4 linked regions of the Lepisosteus oculatus genome follow. The protein of the gene in region 2 interacts with the protein of the main gene of each other region in a pairwise test. Links are inferred from orthologs where the notes say so. Each region holds a gene or a part of one and is shown on either strand. Other genes may lie near its edges.

Region 1 (7,039 bases), on a different chromosome or scaffold from region 2:
AGAATCATCTCTCTGTCCATGTTGCTACCGCTATCGGAGGCCATTGCAGTGACTGGCTATCTCTCTCTAGTGAAAGCAGGAGGGGAGAGGGGAGGGGGCTAAGGTTTCATATAAAAATGCCGTCGGAAATACACAAAAACTACCCGAGCCCACCCGGGGAACGGGACTACGCAGGTAGGGAAGGTGAAAACGGCGGCGTTATCCCGCAGTTTCGTTGGTATTCCGGATCTTTTTTTTGTGGGTTTCAGCCTCTGATGAACCAACACTTTTCCTTTTTTATGTGCTCACAGGCACCTCTCCAGTTGCTTTACGGCAGAAGAAAAAACGTCGCACGGCTAAACGAAAAAATGCTTTTCGGCAGCGTTGATGGAAAGTTTTTAAAGAGATAGTGTGCTTTTTAAATCCAATATGAAAACATTGTAACGCAAGGATATTGTCGCGTTATGTGATAATTTCGTTGGAGTGTCTTGGTGCAGTTGTTTACAAGGCTGAGGAATAATAATACTGCGAAACAAAAAATAAAGGCACACAAAGCCTATATCACACAAGGTTTGACGTCACTCTTTGGGGAGAGAGGGTATTAACACTTTTAAATTAAAATAAAAAAAATTAAAAACAAGTTGAGTTTCGCAGTAATTAGGCAGTTACTATCTCTGCCATATCAGACTCTCTTTACACGGTGAACTTGTGCATGAGGTGCGATTGGTTAAAATGTTATATATAGAAAATAAATATTATTGGATTCGAAAGAGGAGAAACACTCATACAGTACTCTCCACCGAGTTGGAATGTGGCCACGTCAGATATGAAGTGCACTCAGTTAACAGCGCAAAACTCTACACAAGTTCAAAATTAGGTGATCCCAATAATAACAATGTGCTGTTTAATATAGGTTCAGAGCTTTATGAACCAGTAGATCCGCAATCACCGGATGTTCCACATTCCTTGCACTGTTTGTTAAAACAAAATGAACGACATTTTTTTCCTAATGACGTTTTCGTCATGTACAGTACTTAGAGTAAGACCGTCATACAGTAGAATTATGCACAGGTGTTTTTCAAGCATGTAAGGAAGGAATGTGTGTTTTTGACTGATAAACATATTGTGTGTGTAGACAATCACCTGTCAAGGCCAGAGTCAGGGCTATTTACTGCAAAACATGCCTTGTTTTGGAAAACTTACTACTGACAATTCAAATGTTCTGGGAAAGCCTCTTCTCCTCTCAGGGCCAAAATAGTTAAGCAAAGCTGATTGTTGGTGGACCACTAGGTGGCAGTCTGCTGAGAGAAGAAAGTTCTCCTGTGCGAGATATATACCACATTGAAATCCTGTGTAGTGGCCTGCCCAGCTCACTCCAGATGGCTGTCAAGCTGATGTGCCAGGGAGACTGCGCGCTGGTTGATCCCTGTTGTCCACATCACAAGCGTCCGTGCCAATCACTGCAGCCCGCCTGACATTTCAGGAACTCTTACGAGGCCGAGTTATGGAAGTTGATGCAAGAACAGCACTGAAACTCATATTCAATGAATCATCATCTTGATTTTATATTGGCGAAAAATACATTGTTTATCACCATGAAATAAATAGCATCTGCTTTCATGAAATGGAAAACAAAGTCCTGTCAGATACCAGTCATTAAGGATCCCCAGGCATACCCGTTCCCTGGAAATCTTCCATTTTGGCTTATTCAGTCTGGCCTGTACTTAAATGTTATGTTCAATCAGCAAAGAAATGTAATCACTTCTCTTCCCTACTTGCAGTGTAGTGAACTGCTGGCACAGAACCACTGCTGTATTCCACCCCTGAGGGTGCTGCACTTCAGTGGTGGATGAAGTCAGTCCCTAATTACATGTGAAGAACTTTATGATTATTTGAGATAAAATAAGTTATATATGAGGTGTCATTATTATTCCCTCCTTTTGTAACGATTATATTAAATTTTCATGGTAAAACATAAATGTCTGTGCTATAAATCATCAAAAGGATGTAGCTGTTCAGAGAGCCCCATGGAGAGAATGTCTCCCTTCTCCATAACATTGTAACAAAGGTAATTTTCCTTGTTCACATTTTCGTAGGGCTCAATCCCAACTCATGCTTTCTTCTTGTACTTCTGTGTGTGTGTGTGTTTACAATATCCATCCATATTGTAAAAAGCCTCTGCTTATTTGTGAACTTGCTTATATTCCCATTCAAGAGGGCCTTATCAACCTCTTCAACCCCAGCTTACACTGTGCATTTTACTGAGTAACTTGCCTTGCTCAAGATTTTAACAGAGGTGCCCTACCTTGGACCTGAATCCACAGCTACCCAGTTATAAACCCAGAGCCCTAACCACTACGCCTTCCTTGCCAATAAGGAGAATGACCTAAGTGCCCTGTCTCTGCCTTCCTTGCCAATAAGGAGAATGACCTAAGTGCCCTGTCTCACTTATGACCCACACAGTTGTCTGGGATCCCGATTGTTAAATGTATAGTATACTGTTTAATTTCTGAAATCTGTCATCATGACGTCGTCACTGTGCCACTAATTTACCCTGACTACATGTCATGAGAAACTTGCTGTACACAGTCAAGTTAACTGTTATTGTCTCAATTAGAGGATACATTGTGTAAATCTCACTACAAGACCTCCTTCTTTATGTAGTACAATCATTTTCATTTCTAATCACAATCGACAGAGCACACGTTTTGGTGCGAAAGTACAGCATATGTTTCACAAGGCGGCACTCGCTATTTATAAAAACTGAAGAAAATATTTCCATTCATTTTCAGAGACAGAGGGCGCAGCGCTGCTTGAGTACACACCAGGCAGGCGCTCACGACAGACTGCTGCTCTGCCACAATGTCCAGTTTTTATCTGCTATACGTGCTCTGCATGACTGCTGTTTTTGCTTGTCTTGTTTGGTTGTCGTCTGCTGTAGCCTTTGAAACTCGCATGTTGGACATACAAGGGTGGAGGCGGCCCAGGGGCAAGAAGGACTTGCAGACCTGATTGCGTTAATTGCATTTCTTGGGAGCGCACCGTTCAGCCAACACACTGTACGCTGTTACGGGGTTTTCGTGTTCAGTTTGGTTAATGTTAAACATCTGTGGGAGCAGAACACCATTCATATTTAAAGTGCATAAAATAAAAAAGGCTCGTTTGCGTATAACCTTTTTGAAAAGGCATATAGCAAATGAGATTAGATGTAGCGTGGCGAGTTAATTATATAGCTCAGCACTGTCACTATGGAGAAAAACGAACGCTTGATTCCAGCATAATGCTGATAGCAAGTATATATGTTTCGCTGTGTAAATGTATTATCATCTTTATCTTGAGATGCCAAATTACCACAAAGTAACAGAAATTTTAAAAATAATCACTATCGTTTCAGTGAGATATGAATGCGAATCGTTTTCATAATTCCAGTCTTACACGGTCTGTGGCGTCGTTTATTTTCGTTCTTTTTTCCATTTGGTTCCCAACAGCTATTGGCCAAACGTACCAGTTGATAAGCCTTGTAGAAATTGAAAGCTGCGTTATTAGCAAGGTAGATAATTCGACCTGGGAAAAAGACTGACACATAATGGTAAAACAGTTTCGCAAGCGTTCAAGTCGAAGACGCAGACTTCGCAAGGGTCTTGGCTATGATTTTCAGGTTACCGATACTTTTAAAATACCGGTAATACAGAGTTTAAAGGACAAAACATCAGAATGTAAATGACTCTCTTGATAAAAGTCCTGTATACGATGTTTCTTGGTCCGTGTATAACGAAAAGCTAAAAACCTGAAGGTGCAAATGAAATATGTGACTTTTTGATCTCTACAGAGGTGGAATTTGGGTACGGTTTTCGTCTAATTCAAAATCCTGTCCCAGTGGCTTTGGTCAGAGAGTAAGGCAAGCTAGGTTTCTCGCCCCTGCCCCCTCCCGTAGAAGCCGGAGCGACGACAGAGCGGTCCAGTCCCAGCTCGCCTCCCCCTGCTCTTTCAGAAGCGACTGTATCTGTCAGCCCCGCCTCTGATCTGTTCGTTAGCTGTGTGGGCGGAAGAGTCGGAGGAGCTCCCTCTTTTCAAAAATGAGTGATGTCAATGAACAGCAACAAACCACTTTTTCAAAAAAAAATCACTCGTGTTAAAAAAAAAAAACTACGCAAAAAGGTGGGGTTGGCAAATGGAACTGCGATGAGGTCGGGGAGGGGGGAGAGCAACAGAAATTTATTGCAAATATTATCAGTGTTGAAATAATGCTTTTAAGGTTATGGCAAGCGGATCAGCGTTAATGCGAGTGAGGTCCTTGATACGACACAAAGGCAGGAAGGTACTAGGTTTCTGTAACAAATCACTACAGAGAGATGGCTTTACAATCAAATTTTAAAAAGCGAAAAGGAAGGGCCGAGATGGAGGAATACAATACCGTACCTGTTTTGTGAAGATACTGTACTGCATTGCCGCGATATCGTGGTGTTGCCTTTTTTAACCGAAATAAACAACCTCTCATCAATAATGAAGAAAGCAGGACGCATTTGAGCAACCCTTATTTCTACAGTTACAAAAATGGGCGGGAAGTTTGCACAAAACTTTGAAAACACAGCCTTTAAGATGTCATTGGATACAGCTACTCGTTAAACAGAAACAGACCTATTTTTCCCCATTTTTGTTTTCAGTCCAGAATTGCATTAAGACTGGCTTTGAAACGTACTTACTGTTTGCAAAAGGACCGGTTTAACTAAAACCATGCTCTTTTATGATCGGATATGCTGTGTGGACGGCCGCTGGCGATGTGACTACCTGTATTTTTAAACTGATCGCTTTTGGGATACAGTAACCGAAATATGGGTTGCACCTGTATGACAGCGTTTGCCTATTTGGATTTGTGAAAGGCAAATACCATTTTTGAGGGCGATTCAAGGAACTTACCTTAAATGCCAAGCGCGCTTTTCAAACAGAAAACGGTTTGTGAAATGAGTTAAATGTAGCTCACTTCATGACTGTTGCTCAGAAGCCGGGACTTTTTTTAATCATCTCTGAACCCGACCAATACGTTGGTGGGCACAAAAACATTTTAAATCTTTCGACACCAACTAGCTAATTTTGCATTTTTTTCGACCTCTGCGCATCCCGGTTGCAAACGCGTGGTGACAGGTTTGAATCTTTTATCTGTCACCTTGGTGTTTTTCTCCGTAGAAGAAAAAGCGATTCCTGGATTTCAAATACGGATAAGCTAAGAGGAGTCTTTCCAGCAGCCGGGTTTTCTGAAGAAACCACTACAGGAGATGTCAAGTATCTGGGGTCTAGGGTCTATAATAATTTATTTTAAGCAGTAACAGTGCGCGGAGTCATCGGCAGAAAATCCGGGTACGAAGGGATTTCTCCTAAACCCGACCAAGACCGAGCGTCTCCGAGGGCATTAATGATGGATTTGTTTTCTGAGCGATGCTCAGTGAAAAAATATAGATCTGTGTTCCTCGTTCTGGAATGGCTGGACATCCCGATTTTTCGAACTGATGTAAAAATGAAGTGGATTGTGTTTGTGGGATGGTGTTAAAAAGGGAGGCGGACCCTGGCCGAAGCCCAGTTTCTTTTACTGTTCAATATTTACTACAACCTTTTTGGTGGCTCGCGTCACTATAGGTTTACCATAAAAAAGAAGCAGAGCGTACTGTTACAAATAACACCCAACTTTTTTTCCCAAGAAAATATTTTTCAAATATTTTATTTCCATAAAGAATGGCTGGTTCTTCAGAAGCAAACAGGCTTGCCAGTGCATCTGCAAGGGGCGATTTAACTGAAGTTGAAATGTTATTACAAACGGGGGCAAATGTAAATGAAAGGAATGAGTTTGGCAGGACTGCCTTGCAGGTTGGTATTGCGTTTCTTCAGACAAAATTGCACATTTTAGTTAAAAAAAGAAGCGGTAATTTTGCTGTGGGACTCGGTCCATAGGATGCACCGTTGTACAGATGTTTGACACCCTTAGCAAAAGGTAGCTTCGTGACGTATCTGAAAAATGAATGATTATTTTATGGCATAAATACCCTTTTCTCTGTTCCAGATGAAGTCAATTAAGATGTTTTTAATTGTCTTTAGAAAACAATATTATCAGTCTGCTGAAAAGATAGTGGAGGTTATACTTAACGTGGGACGTTGTTTTCTTCTTCGTTCGTGGTTAGCTGCTCCATCCGAGTCCGGTTTTCCAGCCCTGGGCATTTCGAAATCCGCGAAAATCACTAACGTCAAATACTCGCATTTTGCATCATCGCATATCATTCTTTTACTAATTCGGCTTCTTTTACGGTCTCGTTGTGTTCATAGTCTGTTGTTCATAAAAGAAAGACAGATTACGTTAGTAAGAATATGTTTTAAAAGGCTAGCCTTTGGGAATCTCGGCGTGTATGTAAAACTATAGAAAATTCGTCGCAAAATAGTGTCTCGGTAACTGCCCATATAAAAAAAAAGGAGGCAGTATACTCATCTGACCTTAACTGCAGATACACACAAACCTACAGTATATTATTACATCTCTCATCATGTAGCTCATATATATGTAAAGTATAATGTTCGACCTTCATTGAGATATTGATTAGAATAAGCAGCCTTGCTAATTGTTCATTTATGTGCAGTACCTCGATCCACGGACTGATACCTTACAGTAAAAATAACCCGTTCTGTACAGCACATACTTTACGGCTTGGCCTAAGTTGAATATGTATTTATATCTTTATAATTAATAATGTGAGAACTTCTATTCCATATTACGATAACAAGTAGAATTAATTCACTTTAAAAAATAAGAGTACAACCTCCTTATTTCTGCAATCTGGAATGGAAACCTGACCCCCGGTTTCTGAGGGGAGCTGAATTTTTAAAAATACATATTTATCAATAATTTTAGTTTCAAGTAAAGGCCATAACTACAGTCAGTAGTGTGAAATATCGCTTGATAGACTAGAAGACAATAATTATTTCTATGAATAAGCAGAATGCATTTATCTCCTATCTTGATTGGATATCAGTTTGGAACTATGACAGGTTTTTTAACCCGTGGGAGGTATGTATCATT
Region 2 (7,873 bases):
AGCGATGGGGGAAGCTCATTAACTCTGTCCTCTTGGACTTTCTGTCTCAGCTACCAGTGAAACTGCACACCAGCTCCTGCGTTCAACACTGTACAAACACGAGGCCTACAGGCGGATCAATGAAGAGCGAAGCCACAGCTAGCAATCTCCCCACTCCTCAAGAAAGACGTGCCGAAACATTTAAAAGTCACATCCAGTCACAGCTAGAATGCACAATGATTCTGACACTCTCAACTCGCTGGAGGAGCAGTCAAACTCCCTGCGGGCCGTTTAAATCCAAAGGAAACACCGTGAGCGTTCAGCACATACCCTTGACCTTTGGAACCACACACACACGAACACACAAGCAGCGCCACAGACCTCACCCTCTTCACCCAACAAACTCAACACTCCGGACAGCGTGACGGCAGCAGACTTCCGCAAGGCTCTGCAGGGCACAGCCCAGCACACGGCCCACAGGAGGGCTCGTTTCAATGCCCCGTGACAGGGCAGAAAATCGCAGCCTGCCTTCATGCCACCCAGACCGCGCCGGTCTCTGTTGAGACACGCAACACACCCGCCACAAGACTCTTTTATTACGTTGACCAAATCCAATGATCAAAAACAGTAATTAAAGAACTTTATTCACAAAAAGTAAGCTATTCAATTTGTGGTTTCGCCTGCCATGACGTTACATCATTGTTCTTCCAAACAATGATACAAGGAACCAGTGACTAAAGCAGGCCTGGCCCCGTTGCAGACAGGGCACGCACAGAAACCACCGGGGCTCCTGCAGATCGTGGCACTGCGGCTCACAGGCCACACACAGCGCTGGCGAGAGAACTGACGCCCTTCCAACCATCCACAGCACTGGGCAATTCCCATCCAGAGATCCTCAGACCAGTCCGGACGACAACACTGCCTCATGTATTTCACATACCGCAGGTGCTCGGCAGGAGATCCATGTCAGTGGCATTACAAAGAATCAATTCTGAAATAGATGCAGATGCGTGTGAACAGGCCTGGGGCTAAATAACCACCCTGTGTAATTGTTCTTGACGGAAACAGGTTCACACTGAAAACGTGGGCATGAAGTGTGCATCTGTGGCAAGCCCTAATTTGGCCTGTCTGATTACAAGCACTTTAACTGAGTTTAATTACACACCCGAGAGTGTTACAGAGGCATGTCATAGTACCACCTTCAAAGAAAGCTGCCTACCAGCAGAATAGAAGACCAAAAACTATACACTACACTTTGTATAATTACATCTTACTGAGTGTTTTTCGCTGCGTTTTTTTTTTTTTTTGGGGGGGGGGGGGGTATTAAGAACGTGTGAACCTCTTAAATTCTGAAATGTCAGCTGGTAATGCCACACAATTAGGTATGATCCCTACTGAGATTCTTAAAGAACTAATTCAGCCAACGAACTCCTTTCTCGGCACAGCCCGGCCAACACGTTTCAAAACAGTAATGTCAATGTCTCTAGCGGTTATACGCCATATATAGGAAGAGGCCCGCGAATTATTTCCTGTCAAATTCATCTGTCATCTACAGGCAACCAATTTAAGTACGTAAATAAAGAACATGTTTCCCTTTCACTGGGTACTAAGCAGGCAAGGCTAAAGAAACGACTAATCGCGAAACCCACCGCCGGGTGAACTACAGCAATCGATAGAAATGACACTGCGGGCTGACTTCGCGATCTCAACTAATCAATGCGCTTTACCTGTTATCATGATACTACACGACGCATGTACTCTGGCTCACACAAAAGTGCTTATCCTTATTACTGGCAGAACGGTGCCTTCTACTGTGGCTGTTGTAACACTACAAAATAAATAAAACATGTCGAGTTAGGTCCTCGTCTTTGATGTCATTAACAAGAGCAACAGAGATCCAGCCGAGTCGCACAGGACAGACAGACCGCACGCGTTTGTCCGGGACTGCGGGCTCACAACTCCGGCGTCACCGGCTGCAACTACAGCTGCAGCTACATGCGTGAACCCCGTTTTTAATCCAGCCCCCACTCCCGGGGGGAACACGGAGCACAGACGGGTCTCACCTTTTTGACAGGTTTGTGCGAGGTGACGGCGCTGAAGGCGGAGGACAGGTCGCCCATGTCGCTGGTCTTGCCCACGGTCATCGCCGAGTATTTCTCCGCCACATTCTCGCTCTCTTTCACTTCTTTGCTGGCCTGCTTCATCTCCAACTTCCCGTCGCCCGCGGAGTCCGACATTGTACGCTAGTTGGATCTTACTACTGTACTACAGTGAAGAGTAGCGCCAGGTCTGTCTCTGCTGAGGCTCAGATTACTGCCTTCGGAACTGACACCTCTTCTCTGCGGGCAGGAGAGGCGGTCCGGCTCTACTACCGCAAAAGCGCATACGTTCTTGTAATTGTGGAAGGATGTAAATGCACTTGTGTGATTTTTGGTCTTTTTTTTTAATAATTACTGCTGTCGTCACTGCAGCCTTGACTTTGCCTTTCCTCCGACGCGCAGCTACGCAACACCAACCGGCTGCGGGCGGCGCGCGAGGAGGGCTGGAAGAGAGACTCGAGTCGAGTCGCGTCGCGCGGGCGGGGAGTATGGGAGGCGCTGGGGCTGTTAACACCGGTTCACAGAAGCTGGTGCCGGCTAGGAAACTGCGACCGTTGTTTCGCCATTGTGGCTCACACGGCGCCTTAGCAAGACTTCGTGACACTCCAGCGCCAGAGCTGTAATGGCGTCAGTTGCAGAACCATGCAATGCTCCTTGAACTTAAAAATTAAAGCAAAGACGACTGCGGTATGCGAGACATTGCGATTTTACATTGTTTTTTAAAATAAAAAGTGCACCTTCCTACAATGATACTTAAAAGCGTACCTTACTTTGCGTTTATATATGTATAGGAAGGGTACAACAATCCGTTAAACCCATGCAATTCCTTATCAATTTAAAAGCAGCAAGCTAAAGATGGATAGCCTCTGTTTCACAAAAGCAGTACTTCATTGAGCCAGAATTCAACTTTAATAAAGGTGCACACTATTCGTAACGATCAGCTAGGATCATTAAAAACATTATGAGTTTGCAAATGGACAACAGAATCTGTCTGCATTTCTTCAGGATACAAATCTGCACATGAAAGTCAATCGAACGTGTAACTGCTTTATCTTAAGCAGCGTCTACAAAATTAAACGAATGAGACGCGGTGATTGCTTAGTTTTTTTTGTATCATATTTGTATCTGAAAAAAAAAACGCTTTTCCTGTGAAACTGTTTGAAGTGTATGGTTTTGAACATAAGATCATAAAAGTTTTTTTCAGCCTTCAGAAATAGTTTATTTTATTGGTGTCTGCCTGTTCCTTGTATCTACTACATTCCAATCCTTTGTTTTTATTTGTGATAATTTTGTCTCCTTTGTCACTATAAAGCTACTTTTAAAGGCGCTGTATAAAGATGATTTTATCCTCAGTTCCAAAAATGTTTTTTTCCCAACGTGTTTTAACACTAAACTTGGTATATCTGCATTTGACGTATTTTTTTGTCATATTAAGATTGGTAGCCAATTGATTATAAACAATTGTCATGGGAACACAGCGAATTCCGCTGTCAATTTTAACCAACTGGTAATCACAATTTTACAAACCCTTTGGTTTGGGTAGGGATCTGTTTGTGTCATTGTATAAGAAGTCGGTTCTGAGAGAGTGTAAGTGCAGAGCTCCTTCACCACAAACCCAGTATCCCATTTACCGGTATTTTCTCAGCCTCGTTGCGCAGCTGTTCCTGAAATTAAAAACACCGCGGCGCCACTTAGCGAACCGAAACCGAATTATCTGAACCACCGCTAAGCACGCACCTGAGTCAGCGACTTCGGGGCAGGGGCGTAGCCACGGGTGGGCTTGAATGATCCTAGCCCTACCCAATCAGTCCAAAGTAATTTAAGATCCCCCCCCACCCCCTTGTTTGTGTTCCATGATTTGCTTTTTAATGTTACGTGTTTGATTTTTTTTCATCGTATGTGATTTGCTATTGGCTCGCTTTATCTTTTGTGACCAATAAGAAAATTATGTAAATGTAGTGCGGCGGTGCATGTGTAGCCGTAACCTAATTGTCTATCGCTGTCGTCAGACGACCAGACTATCTAGCGCTAGGTTTCTATTTATTAGCCAACATGGCAAAACAAATGCATATATTTAGGTTTTTCAAAAAGCCGCCTGTAGATGACCAGACCAGTCCCGAAACAAATAAAGACACATGAGATGCTACAGGCATCTTGGGTTTTAGGGAGAACAGCCTGGCTTCCCGAATACAAGTGTTTCTGGAACGCAAGAGCACGCGTTTGCTTGTAGCAGCTCGATACATGCTCGACCTGTAGGAGTTAAGCACGGAGAGGTTTTAAAATTTCTCCTGTAAACAAATGATAAGTTTTGGAATGAATGCCTAACATTAAGAAAATATTGACGGATGGATGCGATTGTGCATTTTACAGATAACTATTCGGATCACCTCTAAATGCCCTGCAGTATTTTTACGTGAACGACGTTTACATAGCTAAAATACATATAAAGTATGTATTTGACGCTTTTATTAGCAGACCTTTCTTGCAATTAAAGGTACGATTAATTGGTTAGCACTGTAATGCGACTATAACAATTCGGTGTTAAGTCTTGTGGGAAGTCACGAATATCCAAATTAGCTGTCTTTTGGCATCGAAAATAGAATACTAATGTGGGTTTCATACAAGTTTAAAAGCATCATGAAGGATCAAACAAGATCTTCAGAACTTAATATTTTAATAGCTTCGCAGTTTTTCTTCTCATGGCTCCTCGCTCGATATTACCCTCGGATGCATTTACTCCAACCTCTGAAACGTGTGTGCACGTTCTTCTGGTATGTTATGCTCAAGTCCGCTCAATATTTAAAGACAAGGTAAAAGCTCCGGGAAGTTGCCCCCCCTAGAGACAGCAGAAATGATGAAACCCACCTCATTCGTTAGTGCTACGTTTGTGGCGTTAAAAGTAGCGTTTGTGCTGCTTTTGTTTCCGAGATATAGCACCTTGTTTGTTTGGGGGTCGTGACGTCACTCAGCACCCCTTCAATGTCGTATGGAAACCAAACCGGTCTCATTCGTTAGTGCTACGTTTCCTGCTTTCGTTCCCGACATATAGCGCCTTGGGTTTCCGGTGATCACGTGACCATGCACGGTGACTTTGACCTCCAGTGACCCCGTTTGCCGAGTTCAAGCGCTCTTTTACAGTTTTGCTAGTACCCTTAACATTTTAATAACAATCAATATCCATAAACATATAAGTCTCCTTAGATGTGAATAATACGAAGACATGACGCATGCCAACAAGTAACCATCTATGACATAAACCTGTGGTTGTAATGTACGTAAAATCACCGTGATTGCAAGATCTATGGTTTTTATTTTGTAAGGCACATTTTCCTTTTCTTTTCCTATCGTGACACACTGTTGCCAAACGCGTAACTGTGTTTGATACCATCGCGACAAGACCTCCGCAGCACGTCATGATAGGGACCCCATGTATATCGCATGTATATCGCGGCACGGCAGTGTATATCACGACTGGTGCCTTGCTTCCATGCCACCCTGGCACCGCTGTCGCAACAAAGGTCTCATATCAGGACATGATATACCCAGATAAGATATGTCGCGATATAGACAGGGGGTCAGCAATCCTGTCAGGGTATATCCCATCGCAACATATGGACTCCATGTCGCGACATGGGGGTGGTGCATTTTGTCACGGTATGTCATATCGCGATATATGGGCTTCATGTCACAACATGGGCATGGCAGGTTTTTTAATAATAATGATAATAATAATAATAATTTTTTTACATATCACCATATATGAACTCCATGTCGCGACATGGGGGGGGGTATTTTTGCCGGGGTATGTCATATCGCGATATGCAGGCTTCATGTCGCGACATGAGGGCGTGGCATTTTTGCCGGGGTATGTCATATCGCGATATGCGGGCTTCATGTCGCGACATGAGGGCGGGGCATTTTCGCCGGGGTATGTCATATCGCGATATGCGGGCTTCATGTCGCGACATGGGGGCGGGGCATTTTTGCCAGGGTATGTCATGCAGGCTTCATGTCGTGATATGGCGGCTGCGCATTTTTGCCGGGGTATATCATATCGCGATATGCGGGCTTCATGTCGCGACATGGGGGCGGGGTCGTTTTGTCGCGGTATGTTATATCGCGATATATGGACTTAATGTGGCAACAGTGGCGCCATGACAGTGATACGCCAGTCGCAATGGGTATCGCGATGTCACTCTTATCGTGACCTGCTATCGGAGTCGTGAACGCGCTGCGGATGCCATGACATTCGTTGTCTGCTATTCAGTTTTTACCTCAGTGCGACTTCTCTTGATTGATTAGTAATTGGAAACCAATGGATGTGCTACTGTATATCCAGCGTGCTCATACAGCACACACGATTAACCGGGGCTACAGTATTTTTACCAAGAAGAACATCCATCGCCCATGTCTCTACATGTTCTCGGAACTTCCGCTGTGACTCTTTACCCAATCAGAGTGTCAGAATTCTGACTCTTCATCCAATCGCGGCCCGAGCTGTTCGGGGATTTAGCCAAATACGGGTCTGTTCGAGCTAGCAGCGCCAGGTGGATCGCTTGTTTACTGTCAATGAGAATCTATTTTTAAAATGCTTTACTTATTTACAAAATAACTACATCGGCTTATTTTTTAACTTCTTTATTGATTCACAATGTCACGTACTCTTCTAAATAAATATTTTTTTTTTATTTGCGATATAACTGTCGATGCTGCTTTCTGTAATGAATACATGATATTGGGACAATTTTAATCGTATATTTAAGGTAGGGGGAAACACCTTCTGCTTTGTACTTCAAAAATGAATAGAAATGTAAAGTCTATGATCATTATATCTCGCGACACGTCCTATCTGGGTATATCATGTCCTGATATGAGACCTTTGTTGTGACAGCGGTGCCAGGGTGGCATGGAAGCAAGGCGCCAGCCGTGATATACACTGCCGCGCCGCGATATATATGCGATATATATGGGGTCCCTATCATGACGTGCTGCGGAGGTCTTGTCACGATGGTATCAAACACAGTTACGCGTTTGGCAACAGTGTGTCACGATAGGGAAAGAAAAGGAAAATGTGCCTTACAAAATAAAAACCATAGATCTTGCAATCACGGTGATTTTACGTACATTACAACCACAGGTTTATGTCATAGATGGTTACTTGTTGGCATGCGTCATGTCTTCGTATTATTCACATCTAAGGAGACTTATATGTTTATGGATATTGAATGTTAAGGGTACGAGCTAAACTCTATCAGAGCGCTTGAACTCGGCAGACGGAGTCACTGGAGGTCAAAGTCATCGTGCATGGTCACGCGATCACAGGACGAACAAGGCGCTATACCTCGGGAACGAAAGCAGCACAAACGCTACTTTCAACGGCACAAACCGGCACAAACGTAACACTAACGAATAAGGTGGGTTTAAGCGTTTGTGCCGTCTGTATGGGGGGGGCACCTTCACGAAGCTATTTTAAATACAATATTTCAGGCGGAATTTGAATCTTGCGTTTTGTTGTCCTCATAGTGTTTTGCAGTAAAATATTAACTTCAGAGTAACTCGTAAAACTACTCAACAATCTAAAAGCAGGCACAGGAACCAAGCAACAAGTGAAAATTAGCTCATGCAGCTTTTCTTTAGCTAAAGACAAAGTCCTCATATGAGAGACCTTTGCAAACTAGCTGTCATTTGAACGGGAATTTGCCGACTCTAGAGACAGCGACGAGATTATCGCCATACTCAATTCCAAGCCCTGACGCCTGCGTCTGGTCTAGAAAGTCAAAACCTCACAACAGAAG
Region 3 (7,850 bases), on a different chromosome or scaffold from region 2:
AAAATTATATTTAGATCTCTTTGTCTCTAGCTAAGCCATCTTGAAAGCAAAATAAGGCTTAAAGGCCACACAGAAAACATAAACCAGCCAAATGCATTACTCTATATCTAGAACTACTCTGTGTCTCATGTTCTGCAATACCACTTTAGCAGACTGCTCGGGTCCTCACATAGAAGGGGAAAATTATTTTTGTTTTGTTTTGTTTGTTTTGTTAACTGAAAGCATGTCTGTTTGTCATGTTTGTTGTGTAGTGGGAAAAACACTGTAATGAAGCAAGACTTTATTTCCCATTTGAAGGGAAATAAACTGGTACTATAATAATTGCTCATCCAAATCGTAGAAAAAGCTCTACAGTAATGCTCACAACTGAGACCATTGGTGGAACAAAAGTGTGATTTTTCAATTGAAGTTCTTCTTTCAGACTTTCGCTAGCAACACATTGTGATATTGGTTTTGGTACATAAAAAGAGCTGGCCTGTCTATTAAAATACCACTTCTAAACAAATGTGTCAAATGCTTAACACATTCGTCTAAAAGACTGAGCCTCAGGATGGGTCACCTCTGTGAGTGCCTACTGTATCTCTAACGGGTAAAAAATATGATAGAATATTATCTAATAGAAAGCAGCCATCTGTAATATCTTTCAAATATGGCTCTCCAGAGACTTGTTAAAACCATTTAAATATGTTTTTTCACAGATATTTCAATGGCAAATAAACATTTGGGTTCATTTGTCTTTTTTGTTAAAATACGATGTTACAGGGCTTACACGCTATAACAGTTCAGGTCCCGGTTGTTGTAGTATATAACATGTTTATGCATATAAAATAGTACCGAAGATGCCAAAAGTGATTCTTCAGTTTCAATTTCCACAATTAACAATAACAATCCACTTAACAGTAAGGAAGAAAACCTACACAACCCCCATCCTTAGACCTACTTAAAGACTCATAGATTCCCATCGCGGTCCTACTGACACAATACTATTTAATTGCCAAGGTCTTCAACTTCTCTGACTGCACCTGAATTTACTGTCCATTGTGGAGAATGGTAGCCTAATGGAAACCTTGATATATTTTCTCTGGGGGAGAGACCACTGTAAAAGTGACTGAAATAAGATAACCGCAAATCGATAGTCTGCGGAGTTGAGACATCACCTGTCATTTCACAGATCTCCTTTCACTGTGCTGCAGGAACATACTGTAGTAGTTTTAGGGCTGCAATTTCAAAAACCGATTAAGTACAGGAAAATATTTATTATAAAATCTAGTATCATAACAGCTGGTTGGCAGCAGTTGGTGTAGTGTACAGTATGTATGCAGTACATGGTGTATTTCATTCAGAGACTGTAGTGTTGATTCTGGGGATACGATCCACGCTGGGCAGACACTTGGCTAAGGCTCGCATGCTACACAAAATTCAAATTTAAGGTGGGGAATAACTGAGATGAGCTTGAAATTATGTGAATTTTTTCACTGTCTTGTTCCCCACTAGGAAAAAAAGGTGTTTTTTTATAATTTTGCATTGGTTTTTGTAGTTAAACTAAACCTGTATTTTTTTTTTCTTTTAATGGAAGCACTGGTTACAATTTCCTTTCTGAAGCACAGCACCTTTTCCATACCTCCACCTTGGTGCTACGGTAGCTTATAGGTTTCCTCATATTCGAATTGTCTCTTATTTCAGCTGTGGCCTCCAGCCATGGCCTATTTTAAAAGTCTCCGCCGGTTTAATCTGATTTATCAGTGCCAGGAAATAGGCTGAAGCTTGTGCCACACGAGGTGCTGAATGCATTCTGACAGCATGCATGGATTTTATTTTCTCTTGACAGCGTTTGAAAAATGCATTCGCTTTTTTAACTTGTATCACCTTTCGCTAAGAAGCTTCAAAGAGAGGCAAGTGTTAATTGCAGTTCATTTGTCCACAGCAATCGATGAGCTCTCCCCTGGGTGTGGCTGTTTGTTAGGATACAATAAATGATTCGGCTGGGTATTACTCTCATTTAATCTATGATATCCCATATTCCATTTTCAATAATTCATTGCTGGTCATGTTTTCCAATGAAAAGCCACTTACACTAGCAGCTTAAATGAATGTTAATAAAGCAACGTAAACGATGATCTGTCAGTCTATGTAGTAGCCAGTGGTGAGTTGTTAATTTTACTTTCATTCCTTTCATATTTCCTTTCATATTTGTTTTTATTTTAATGCACATTATTCAGAAAAGTCTTCCATTTCTGGATGACATCTGTATGTTTTGTCACGAGTATAGTTTCAGCCATGCAGACACTTCAGAGTTTATCCTTGTACCTTCAACCCCAAAATGTACAGTGACAGCTGACAAATTCCCAAAAAATAATTTCAAAAACTGCTTTTCAGCAAGATGGAGGTAAAAAACACTAGATCTGTTGTTTCAAAACATACTAGATAATTTAAAAGAGAACTGTCATGAATACTGTTGAAACACAATTCATTGTTCTTAATCTAAACATTTCTCCCCGTTTGACAGCATGCAACTGTTAACAAAATAATGAACTGACCTCCAGGTTAAGATGTTTTTTGGACCAGATTCAGCATAACCCAAAGTGACCTACCCGCTAGTGGAAATAGCTTAATGTATCATCTATTTAGAAAGTCTTTTAATACATGTCTTATTCAACTCAATCTCAAACTAATCACCTTAATTAACATTTAAGGACCTTAATATAACCAGCTTACTCTAGAGTGATCTCTTGATTATGGTTCCAGACAGAAATAGCCAAAGATGACCAACCCCTTTGCAGTGAGGTATTTGTGATTAAGTAATTGGCACACTGGCTAAATGAAAAATCTTAAAACATTATGTCATTATGGGACAACAAAAGTAAAATACATCAAAAGAAATATATTCTAAATCATTTAGTCATTTTTAAAATGTAATTTCAGGCACATTGTGTATTTTTAAAAATGATAAAGACGAAGACATTTTTCTCTTGCCATCCTTGTGTTTGAAAAAAGAGACTCGGGGTAACTGAAGTCACACCTTTACCAAGTTATATTTAAAAAAGGCAAACTAAAAATAAAACCAATATGATAAACATGATCACATTTTACCAAAAAAATGCATTGACAAAACCTTACATACAACTATTATTTGTCTCTACCAACAATACAAGAAATGTTCGTATAAATAGAAATAAAGCCTGATGGACTTCTCTCACAAAATAAATTTGACACAAAATATATTCAGTTCTTTCAGCTTGTGAGTGTAAGATACTGTAGATCTGTACTTCAGACTGATTCCACATAAGCAATGGCTTTTTTAAAACACGGTGGCCAAACTTGTACAAGATCTTCGTACAAGGTCTTGCTAATTGTTCCATTTTAACATGGCATTCCTTGATTGAACTATATACCCTATGTGTCTTCTGTACGTCCTTTGTATTGCTTCCGCACACTGGCTAATGGAAAGCAATGTGTCAACCTAAATGCTTACGTTTACTTTGATAGGTACATTTTTCAACATCCTCCCCAGGAGCTGCAGTCACTGGGTCTGCACCTGCTCGTTCTGTCTGCTCGTTGGACGAAGATAATCACAGGGTATAGTCCCTTGCTCCTTCAGAGTCCCCAGCTCCTGTACATGTAAGGTACGTATCTCTCTTGCAGTGTTTCTGCACTGTAGGAGAATAGAATCTCCCACGACCACCACTGTTTGCCTTGTGCTTTCCCGGATGCTTCTGGGATAGGCGCTGACTCCCCCTACAACCCTGTCTTGGATAAAGCGATCCGAAGTAGGATGGATGGCTGGGTGGTAGTTAAGTTAGTGTAACGCATACGGCCGACATTGCAGGTCGTGCGAGACCGGCTTACCAGCGCGGTGACGTTACCACCCTTCCCTGTGAAAAGCAGGGACCGCAGCTGTCGGGCTGAGGGGAGATTTCCCTTTGCCTCAACTGCCTGGGTCCCTGTTGAGTCATGCCGGCGGCCCGGGTTCGAGTCCCCAGCGGTGGGGGGCTGACCCGAGGCGGCAGCGGCGAGGGCGCATACCCACGTTAACCCCGAGAGTGCTACATTAACATGGCGTGCATAACTTAAGAGAAGTTAAGTCAGTATATAATTAATTTGGTCACACTTTAGTTTAGGGGCTGTGGAATTACACGTTAGAAACGAATAGTCCAGCAGTTAATACATTTTCTAGTGACTCTGGATTGAAGAGGTAGAAACAGATGGATGGATGAATGGTTAGGACCGTATAATTGCCTAAACCTGTCAATAACACATGCGGTTATTTAGTCGTAAATTGCATCTCATACTTTATCCTGGGATCTTTTGCCTTGAACTTCCAAATCCTAACTGCCCTGTTTCCAGGTACTGGAGTTGAGTAAATAAATCTGGTGATGTGATATTATGGCTCAGTGTTAGGAAATATTGTCCTGTTCTTCATCCTGTGACACATATGTGACAAACTCTATAAGATTGTCTTACAGCTTATTAGCACTAAAGCTACTTCTATTTCTGCATGAAAATGAGTGTTTTGTCAGTGGTATTCTAGCTCGGATTTATGTATGGCCTACAGCGACAAGCACTGGGAATGGATATTTATTTGGGCCAATCCGAATGTGAATCTAAAAAAAAATTCCATAGATAATGGAATGTCGTCGTGCTTTCGAGCGATAGACGTTTGTCGTATCGTAGCCACCCTTTCAAGTAACAGCAACAGTATGTTCTAGGCGAAATTCCAAGTTCATCCACAAGACTAGAGGAAACCCTCTCCGTCTTTGTTTCACTGTTGTCTGGCTGGTAAGCGAAGGGAGAATGACGTCACGGAAAAGCCCTCGTCTTTGACCCCTACTACTATATATAAACCCAAAGAGCTGAAAGCACATTAGTGGGAAGCAGAGAATCTACTGGGATTTACAGCCCAGCGCACAGATCACGAAACCCAGGCAGAAACACCGTCGAACAATCAAGTGGTTCTGGAGTTTGCGCTGCTCCTAACTGGATAATGTAAGATATGTTTTTATTTTGGGGGAAAAAAGTAAAGGAAACTACAATGCAATTATTATTCTATTCTGCATGTTTTGTTCCAGTATTTTGTATTGCATCTTCGAGTTAATAACCGGGTTTAGATGCTTAAAGAACTTTGTATTTGGGAAATCTTACAGCTTAGACACAGTTTTAATTATACGTTTTTATTGCAGCGATCATGGTTATTTTTTGTTTTATAGACATTCTTATTGTTATTCTCTAACAGTGAGTAATTTTGATACATTTTTAATTAATAAAAATCAAGGCTTCTGAGGGGTGCGTGCACGTCTCCTTGTTTTTAAGATTTAAAGTTGCAAAGAGATGACATGGCTGTAGAAGGTAAATTCAGTGATCAACAATGTGGAGTGTTATTTTTTCAAAGACATTACATCTTTTTTTTTTACGGGAAAAAATGCATTAAGAAACTCTTTTATTCCATATTTTTGTAATTCCGTTGCTTTCCCCCCGTGCTTCAGAAAGATGACCCTTCACGTAACCATGAGACACAGCAGTGGCTGTCTGCAGCCCCAGCAGCACCGCTGGAGTATCTCCACCGACGGCAAGCATCTCCTCAGCAAGAGCTCGGCGCTTCAATCCGGCGTCTGCCGCTCCAAGTCCTACACCAGCGCCGGCGAGTCGTGCAGGGGCAGCTGGTCGTCGGACTCCTCGGACTCGGTCATCTCCACCGACTCCTGCGCCAGCCTGTTCAGAGTGGTGCTCATCGGCGAGGACGGAGTCGGGAAGTCGGCGCTCGCCGGCATTTTCACGGGCGCCCAGGACAGCATGGACAGCGACTGCGACCTGAGCGGAGGTCATTGTTTTTATCAGCGTTGTTTTCCCGTGCAATGGGGCTTGTATCTTTAAACGGGTGCGGGGTTATTAAATTATTCACGTTCGTTTTAAACAAGCCAGTCGATCTTATATGTGAACAACACCCTATTATTTTATTTTTGACATATTTTTTGTGTGTGAAGGAGATTAAATATTTTACAGCTTTATTCGTATAACTTGAACGCACGGACCCACGTAAACCGTTTTAACGTCTTTTTGTTATTTATAGAAGACACATATGAACAAACGCTGACAGTGGACGGCGAATGTGCGACAATCATTTTATTGGACACCTGGGACACTCAGGTAAGATAATAAAGCATAGCATATAACATAAAATACGATATATCCTACCCATGCTATTTTCACTGTGTGATGTGCAGGTGTTTTTTTTAAGCATTGTTATTTGCATCTTGCCCATTTTATATACCGTCTATTTTATCATGCATAAATGAGTTATTTTCCTTTGTATCGTTTTTACAAGAGTAGTATGCGAAAGCGAAAGCTTCAGTTTTGGCCATTTTAAAACTTTAAAAACAAACCATTAAATCCATGTTTTCTGATCGCTCGGAGTCTTGCTGTTTCTGAACGTCTGTGCTGTGCTTCTGCAGGACAGGGGCAGCTGGAGTCAGGAACAGTGCATGCAGGTGGGAGACGCGTACCTCATCGTGTACTCAATTACCGACCGCTCCAGCTTCGAGAGAGCTTCTGAGCTGCGAATCCAGCTGCGCAGAGCGAGGCAGATGGAAGACATCCCCATCATTTTAGTGGGCAACAAGAGCGACCTTGTGCGGTGCAGAGAGGTCTCAGTGGCAGGTAAGGTCTCTCCCTGTAACATTTTGAAATCCCCTAAAGGGGGTTGATGTTTTTTTAGAAGGAGCGTGTAATCACAGCAAGACCCTGTGAACTTTAATAAATACCTCTGATGCCGTAAGATGATAAAATAACGTCATACGATAAATTTATGGAGCAATATGACAGAACGAGACCCAAACTTAACGCAGAGGTTTTATTTTGTTTTCGACGGTGAGCGCTTGTGGCGGAGAGGAGAAATGAGATTTGCACCCAAACTAGCTTTTGCAAAAAAAAAAACAGATCAATAATAGTCTTTAGGAGTCCCATAAGAGTAAAAACTGAAATCTCTATGTATTCTCTGTATGGAAATGTCACATACTGGTGCCATATGCCTGCATACACATTTTAATAATTAAAATCTGGCTAAATAAGAAGATAACTTTGAAATGTAATTATTCAACAGAACACTAAGCAATAGGTAATTTGGTTCTGTGCTGCAGAGAACTGATAATGAATGATTAAGACAGTATAATTACTGTACCTAAAGCTGTACATAAATCATAACCTGCATCTCATACCTAATAGTTATATCAGGAGTTGAAAGTGTTTGGTTCTGTTTTATTCTTGTTGAAGGTGACACTTACATTTACTTGGATATTTTTTTGCAGAGGGCAGAGCCTGCGCAGTAGTATTCGACTGTAAGTTCATCGAGACTTCGGCGGCAGTGCAGCACAATGTCCGAGAGATGTTCGAAGGGATCGTGCGACAGGTTCGGCTTAGGAGGGACAGTAAGGAGGCCAACGAGAGGCGGATGGCTCGCAATAAGAGGAGGGAGAGTCTTCCCAGGAAAGCCAAGAGATTCCTGGACAGAATGGTGGCTAAGAACAATAAGAACATGGCTTACAGGCTGAAATCCAAGTCTTGCCACGATCTTTCAGTGTTATAAACCCACTGGCGGGCTTTCCATCTCAAGGACTTTATAAGTCACAAGTCAATCTACATTAGATTGCGTTACAAAACTCCAGAACAGAGGGTGTGACAGATCAGCTCTGATCTACCGCTCCTGTTCCTCTGTCTGTAACAGATGGAAGAATTGCTTGGAGATATTCGTTCACGTACAAGAGGGTATTGAGTAACAGGTAATAGAGAGACTGACTCTAGAGGGCTGCAGAGAGTCCTCCTGGTCTGTTTTCTTTATTAAAATTAAAATGAAAATAACT
Region 4 (7,317 bases), on a different chromosome or scaffold from region 2:
CTGACAAAGTGCTTCCACACGTCCTCTCCCAGCCCTTCCCAGCGGCAGCTCTCCGCTCTGCTGCCCGAGCGCCTGACTCACACTTGTCTTCAGAGGAGCGTGCTGTCTCGGTACTGCCGGGCCGCGACCCGCCTGCGCGCACGGCGCCAGACGGCCACCCCAGAAACACCCCTGACCCCTGCGCTGGCTGTGGGGTCACGCTGGGCCTCTCGGTTTCACTGCAGTGCTTCTGGAGCAGCCCGTCAGCGTCACTACTCTGTTTACCCAGAATGGGTTGACATGATTATTATTATAACAGAGGCATATGTTTTAAGCCTGCTGTAGTCAAAATAATGTTAAGGGACAAGCAATTTAAGTTTTTTCAAAACACCTTTTTTCCGTTTCAGCTTCTGACGCTGCTGAACTCAGCTGTGCGGTATTTCAAGGAGACAGAGTAGTTTAATGACAAGAACACACAGTGCTTAAGACCTTGGGCTTATATTCTGTGACCCAGGGAGAATAAGTTATTGGGGGTCAACTGTGCCAAGGTTCTTCTTTAATGAGGAGGAGAAAATCGTGATTTAAAATTGTGTTCTCTCCAATTTTAAATCATGAGGTGTTATCCAGTGTGCAGCTCTTTACTGAAACCCTAAACTGCTATTGGAAGCTTAAACTTAAATCATAGTTAAATCCACAACCAACTTGATACAAAATACCTTGAAGAAACCCATTTGTAGCACCTCTGCCAGCCAGGGCTTGTACAGTCCACATCACTAGTCCTGCCCAGTTGTGCCATGTGATCAAGAACCTGGTCTGGAAGATGCTGGACCCGAGGACAGCCCTGCTTCGATTCTTCTGCATTCCAGTTTAGCATGGAATTTAAAGGCGTGGGTCACTGGTACATCCCTCCATCCACTTTCCAATCCACTCATCCGATACGAGGCCTCTGGGAGAGCCGGAGCCTAACCTGGCAAAGTACGGGCGCGAGGCAGGATATACCCTGGACAGGACGCCAGTCCATCGCAGCTGCTGCTGGAGCACAAAAGCCATAATTGGACAGGTAATGGGGGCTGATAATCCTGATGGCAGTGTAAGTGGTGCACAGAAAGAAAATTCCACACCATCGCAACCTCATTATGAGTTTTGATGGTGTCAGCTGAGTCTGGCTGAATAGAGAACGGTTTGCCTGGTCAGTGATGCAGTGATGCTTTTTCCTGCATGCAGACCTGTATGTGTGTGCGGTTGTGAGTCCAGTAGGACGAGTAGCACAGAGGACTGGCGGAGGTGGGGGGAAGTGATATTTGGGCGAGTTAGTCACTGCACACCAAATGTCCGGTGTACCTCCTGGAGGACAGTAGTGTTGTTTGTTGTCCTCGTGATGTCTTGAGGGGACAACGTACATGGGGAGGTTCCTCTCTCCTGTGTAAGCATGTCTCTTTCCCTCTAGTAGTTGCCTTTTTCTGTAACATTCTCTGTGCCCTTTTAACTAAAGAAAGATTGACGTTGATAAGGAGAGGCGTTTGGAGGTTATGGGAGACCGAATTTTGCTGTAACATGCAAGTCTTATTCCAGAGGAGGAGACACTTGGAATAGACGCTGAGGTGCATTAATAATGCAACAGTTATGTATTGGTGTCAAAACTCGGTTTAGTGGTCAAAATTAAGGGGACACTGCAGTACAACAGAAAAACACAAAAAGGGAGGATCAGTGCAAACAATTTATATAGAAAATTATTGGCCTTTCTCAAAAGGAAATGTGACAGAGGGCATGCATTGTTTCACCCATATATTGCTCTGTGTGCTGGGGCATCTGAGCTTCCTCTCCTGCATGGTGGCAGTGTCCATTCGGCCAGGAGTCCTACTAACTAACTAACGTTTACTAATATATTTGGGTTTCTGTTAAGAATGTGCTGACCTAGAGAATGGAATTTGTGTCACTTCCTGATGTTTACTGTGTGGGACTGAGACCTCACTGTCTGGAAATCTGCTGTGTCCTGTATTTCGAATGACTGGACTGTTAACTAACTTAACTGCACTGCCCAAGACCCAGAGACGGTTCTTCCTGTGAAGCTTTAGAGCCTGTAAGAGTTTAAGAGTTACATCTGGTGGACCCAGATGAAGCTTCCAAGTTTGATATTCAGCAGGAAAGTAGTTTTCTTCCCATATCACACAAGCCCACACAGTTTCGATGTCTGTTGTCAGATTCTCAGACCTGTCACAGTGGAATTCTTTCATTTGTGCGATCTGCACCCAAAACTGACTGACAGCTTTCCCATTCACACCCAGACTCGCCGTATTTCTGGGCAAATATTTAGAAAGGAAGTATCCACAGCAGTGTGGAGCAGACAGTATTACTCTGGCCTGGTAACTAGGAGGACCACTGCTGTTGTAACCTGCTCAGATCCTGTCAGAACGCCGCTGTGTGTATTTCAGGTAGTCTGCTCCCACAGAGATGTTACTTTATTTTAGGATTTGTACCACAAGCAGTCCTCGCTTCTTTATGTGCTTCTGAATATCCATAGGTGTAGGTATATAAAAATAATAAAGCAACTTTCTCAACACGGGGATGCTATACATGGTGATAAAGTAAAAGACAAAAATACAATCAAAGGTAAATGAAAAACATTACACAAGAAAACAGAAAAAAAGTAGGGCCTCAGTCAATCAAACACAAGCCCTCATAAAAAAAAGTGAGTTTTAAGTTTGGGTTCTGGGAGGGTGAAATAACTTGTCTCTCATAGAGTTGGAGAAAGAGCATTTCAAAACGCTGGAAGTACGACAGAGAGGGCACAGTCGCCAGGAGTCTGAGAGTTAGTCCTGCGTACAGTGAGCAGAGCCGACAGGAGGGAGCGTGAACATGGAGGGGCTCCGAGGTGTGTGATGGAGCCAGATTGTTCAGAGGCTTGAAAGTCGGCTACATAATCTTGTATTGAACATGTGACTTTAAAGGCAGCAAGTGAAGAGATTTAAGAGTAGGAGTAAGATGTTACAGAGTTTTGCACATTATTGCATCTTACTGAGAAGAGTGTTGGGGAGCCCACAGAGTAAAAAGGTGCACAAATCAAGCATTGATGTTATGAATGTGTGAATTATCTACAGTACCTATACTGTAGGAATGTCATGAAAATACATCGTGTGTAGATCACTTAGTTACTTAACCTCCTTCGGTGTTTAGGAACTGAAAACACAGAACCTACCTGAAACCTGGTGAGATTCTCGAGTTGAGCGCTCAGGTGGACCAAGCGCCAGCAGGTGTGGGAGTCCCCTGGTTGAGAGGGTTGTTGTAAAATGACTGGCTGTGATCTGCACAGTCTGGATAGTCGCAGGGTATAATGCACATAGACTAAAGAAATAAGTTTGCAATGAGCTGCTTCCATGCCGGGCGAAGCAGACACAAGCCTCAGGTATCCCAGAGGAGGTGGAAGAGCTGGTCATTGGTGGGTATTTGGCTCCCCCATGTGTTTGATATGTGTATTAAACTTTATTCCTGTTCATGCACTGCAAAGCTATAGGGCAGCTCAGTCTGCACGCCGTCCTGGGTCCTGGTAAGGTTACAGACCGGGCTGCCTTCTGTGCAGAGTTTGCATGTTGTCCCTGCATCTGCACGGGTGGTATCAGGGTGTTCTGGTTTTCTCCCTCCCCTGGGTGCGCTTGCTAGTTGATTGTGACCCTGGTGTGTGTGTGTCTGCCCTGTGATGGTCTGGCGTCTCGGCCAGGGTGCCTCTGCTGTGAACTCCGCCAGCGCTGCACACAGCAGCAGCAGTGAAACCCAGGGGCGTCTATAGCTGGAGTCTGTGCCAGTCCTGATCCTGGTGATCAGTAGCCTCTCCTCTGCTGTAGTCCTGATCAAGCTGGTCATACGGCATGTGCAGCCGGAGCAGTTTCCAGAAAACTCCACTGTGGAACAGATGAACCAGGACAGAAGTATCTGACGCGGAGGGAAAAGAAGGTGAGCTTGTTATTTTGGTATTCCAAAACTACTTCAGACTTTCTGTATTAAGTATAGAAACATGAGCCTTTACTATGGTACAGCCTTATTACTATGGTGCCGGTGCCTGAGCCAGCCCAGCTTGAAGATGTGCTGCAGGAAGGTTCTGGACTGTTTCGAACTGTGGGGGTCGGCTCCCTTTGTCCTGGGATCCATGAAGCCCTGGAATCCGGGGTTTACCGACACCTTCGCGTGAAAGAGCTGTCAGTAAGCAGTTTCTTAACCCACGGTATCATCATTGAGGTTATTGTTTCACCCTCTGATTAGAGATGTGGGTAAAGTCCCTCAGCTCGCGGAGATGATTAACTGGCTTAGTCTTTTCTTTCCTGAAGTGGAAATGCTCTCTTTGCTCAGTGTCACTTTCCACCACACAGCTGTAACCTCAGCTCTCTCCTTCCCAGCACTTCCCAGCCGCGGACAGAATGGAGAACCGGGGCGCGGACGAGGATCCCAAGGTAACTGATATGCCCAATCCGTGAACGTAGCAGGAGCAGATTCGACCTGGGTCTCTTTCCACGTGTGCCGAGAATCAATACAGGGAAACTGATCGACCAGCAGCAGAATCTTTCTGTTTTGCCTTGGGTGTGCAGTTTCCAGCTTGTGCAACATCTCAGCACCATGAGTTTCAGGACAGGAAAGTCTGCACGTGCAGCTGTGACTGCTTGACATTTGCTAACAGCATTTTTTTAGGTTAGTGGGACCAAAATTTATATAAAACCTCTTTTATATAATACCTTCCTGCCTTAAAGGGTGTTTCTTTATTTTAGGCTGATACATTGAACTGTAAAAATAATAGAGCATGGTACAAACAACATATGAGATTCTAACTAATGTTTTGTATAGGTGTATTTATTGGAGCATAGCTTCCATCACATCTGATATCACAATGAAACATTCAGTTGAAGATGAGGGTTCACACAAAGAGACTTTGAAAGAAGGGCTGTTTAAAGTGGTAGGGAGTGGATTGACTGTTTAATTAAGCTGCTCCCAACCCATTGCTCAATAGCTGGCAGACCTCCTGGCCTAAAAGCATCAGGATCACCAGGCTGGAGCTGTGCTGAGTCCCTCTCACGTGGAGCTCTTATCAGGGCAGAGTTACACATGTAGCTGTTTTTACTGCAAGTCTCCTCCTCTGATCACTCTTGCTGGGGCCGTCTGGCCCCAGGTGCTGGTCCCTGCCTTGGCTATCAGCCCCTGCTTCTCTCCTCCCTCTGCCCTGATGGGAGAGGCTGAGTGAGCACGACTCCTCTCTTGGCCTTCTCTGGCCTGCCTGGACACACGTTGCTCCAGATCCCTTTATCTGGTCCTCCCAAGACAGTCCGGGTGTCGTGCAAGTGCTCAGAGAGCCTGTGGGGATGGAAAGAGCTGTGGAAATGGAAGGAAATCCGATGAGTTATTAGTGATTAATCACACATGTGTGAAGACTGTACGGCATGACCTTGCAATCCACCCAGAACAGATTCCCGGATGTTGACGCAGAGTAGGGAACGTCTGAGATTATAGACACTCGACACTTTCCAGTGATCTCACCTGTGGCTGCACCTTGCCGCCAGGCTGCCCTACATCTCTGGTCTCTGGTGCAGCTAATTCAAGCGGTGACTGAAGGGAAGCAGTGCCCTCTCACGCCGGTGTGCCATTCCTCTCCAGGGAGACGTGCCTGTGCAGAACGAGAAGCACCAGCAGCCTCGGGCGGGCCAGGGCTTTGACATGATCTACAGGATCGAGGACGTGCCCCCCTGGTACCTCTGCATCTTCCTGGGACTGCAGGTGGAACACACCGTCTGCCTGGATGGGTGGAGGGACAGACAGACTAGTCTCACAGGCAGGCGATTAGACAGACAGCGAGAGAGAGGAGTTTATTTGCCATACGGACATGTGATTTGGGACTTCGATTCACACTTTCCTCTCTGGATAGACGACACTTTCACACAATGTGCACAGCACATGAGAAAGCAGTAAATGATAATAACACATTATGACAGTACAGCAAACGCATACAAGGGGAAGTACAGAGTAATAAATACACAGGACAGTCATTCTATAGACAGACTGATTGCAGATCTCCAGAGATCCCTGGAACTGTAAAAGCACCAGGGATCTTCACCACCCCTGTCCAGAACTATCAGAACTCTCCTTTCACAGCTTTAGACTCCAGAGCACAGCTTTCTTTACCTTTCTCTGAGGCCAAGCAAACAGCACCTGACTGTCCCAGACAGGAGGTAAATAAATGGGCTGGATGCCTGTCTTGCTCTGGCTTGGCTGCGTCTCTGACCCTGCGCTGATCTTCACAGCACTACCTGACGTGCTTCAGCGGCACGATCGCCGTGCCCTTCCTGCTGGCCGAGTCCCTGTGCGTGGGGAAGGACCAGTACACGGTCAGCCAGCTGGTCGGGACCATCTTCACCTGCGTGGGAATCACCACCCTCATCCAGACCACCTTCGGGGTCAGGTAGGCGGACAGAGGGACGCGCCTGCTTTCCACGTTGAGCAGTCCAGTTCTTCAGGGAACTGGTGTCATGGCTCTGTGGTGCTCTGTGTCCGTGTCTATGTTTGCTGATGAACTCTCTCGAGTCCCCTTCTCTTCACAGGCTCCCACTCTTTCAGGCCAGCGCCTTCGCCTTCCTCATCCCAGCGAGAGCCATGCTGGCTCTCGACAAGTGGAAGTGTCCTCCTGAAGGTACAGCCTGTCTCCGCGGGGCCGGTGCTGAGGTCTGGCCTGCAGGGTGTATTCCAGCGTCAGTGGTCCTTGCATGTTGCCCCTCCCCCCCACCAGAGGGCGCCAAATATTCATCATCAAGGCCTGATTAATTTAACACCTCACAACTGAAGAAGGCTCCACGGCCGAAATGTTGTGTTTTCTTTCTTCTTTTTTCAGCATGGAATAAACCTATTACTTGTTCCTCTGCAGCCTATGCAGGCTGATGCAGCTACCTTCCTGAGTAATTTTATATACTGTATGTAGTCCACAAGGATAGTAAACTGCTTCACCTGTGTGTGTAATAGCAGTATCAATCAATTGCAATCCTCACAAAGGCTTGTTTGATATGAGCTGGTGTCACAGAGTCAGGGAGAGATCAGGAGATGCTTTGTTTTTTTTTGGCTTGGCGCAAATCCACTTTAGTAAATTCTGGATATTTTGACCACAGCTGTATCTGTAGTAGAGTTAATCTGCAGCGATATTCTGAGCCATACAACAAAGCTCAGGAACTCCCGGAACGTGCCCTTTCAGTTTCTAGCAGGAGGAGTAAATTCCTTTTTGCTGCAATATATCACAGTCAAATGCGTGCCGAGGCTGGGCGTGTCTGGTCCTCTCTTTGTGACCTGTGCTGTGTTTCAGAGGAGATCTACGGG

What was found.
Region 1: the proteins of ahcyl1 (region 2) and cdkn2c interact in binary tests that used the Homo sapiens proteins (3 or more experiments, as listed by UniProt). The two-hybrid records come from large-scale screens. The link is inferred for Lepisosteus oculatus from reciprocal best matches to the Homo sapiens genes AHCYL1 and CDKN2C.
Region 3: the proteins of ahcyl1 (region 2) and gem interact in binary tests that used the Homo sapiens proteins (3 or more experiments, as listed by UniProt). The two-hybrid records come from large-scale screens. The link is inferred for Lepisosteus oculatus from reciprocal best matches to the Homo sapiens genes AHCYL1 and GEM.
Region 4: the proteins of ahcyl1 (region 2) and slc23a1 interact in binary tests that used the Homo sapiens proteins (3 or more experiments, as listed by UniProt). The two-hybrid records come from large-scale screens. The link is inferred for Lepisosteus oculatus from reciprocal best matches to the Homo sapiens genes AHCYL1 and SLC23A1.

What each region holds. Positions count from the first base shown.
Region 1 is NC_090704.1:27,412,872-27,419,910, forward strand, and holds the start of cdkn2c (cyclin-dependent kinase 4 inhibitor C), read left to right. Parts: upstream 1-4,020; 5' UTR 4,021-5,706; coding exon 5,707-5,838; intron 5,839-7,039. Other genes in the region: faf1 (FAS-associated factor 1), read right to left, coding at 1-44. UniProt on the Homo sapiens protein: Interacts strongly with CDK6, weakly with CDK4. Inhibits cell growth and proliferation with a correlated dependence on endogenous retinoblastoma protein RB.
Region 2 is NC_090700.1:39,788,042-39,795,914, forward strand, and holds the start of ahcyl1 (S-adenosylhomocysteine hydrolase-like protein 1), read right to left. Parts: upstream 3,015-7,873; 5' UTR 2,217-3,014; coding exon 2,043-2,216; intron 1-2,042. UniProt on the Homo sapiens protein: Multifaceted cellular regulator which coordinates several essential cellular functions including regulation of epithelial HCO3(-) and fluid secretion, mRNA processing and DNA replication.
Region 3 is NC_090705.1:7,493,809-7,501,658, reverse strand, and holds the start of gem (GTP-binding protein GEM), read left to right. Parts: upstream 1-4,846; 5' UTR 4,847-4,983; intron 4,984-5,480; 5' UTR 5,481-5,484; coding exon 5,485-5,815; intron 5,816-6,064; coding exon 6,065-6,141; intron 6,142-6,446; coding exon 6,447-6,651; intron 6,652-7,298; coding exon 7,299-7,576; 3' UTR 7,577-7,850. UniProt on the Homo sapiens protein: Could be a regulatory protein, possibly participating in receptor-mediated signal transduction at the plasma membrane. Has guanine nucleotide-binding activity but undetectable intrinsic GTPase activity.
Region 4 is NC_090706.1:41,167,789-41,175,105, forward strand, and holds the start of slc23a1 (solute carrier family 23 member 1), read left to right. Parts: upstream 1-4,301; 5' UTR 4,302-4,388; coding exon 4,389-4,421; intron 4,422-5,613; coding exon 5,614-5,733; intron 5,734-6,257; coding exon 6,258-6,415; intron 6,416-6,554; coding exon 6,555-6,643; intron 6,644-7,303; coding exon 7,304-7,317.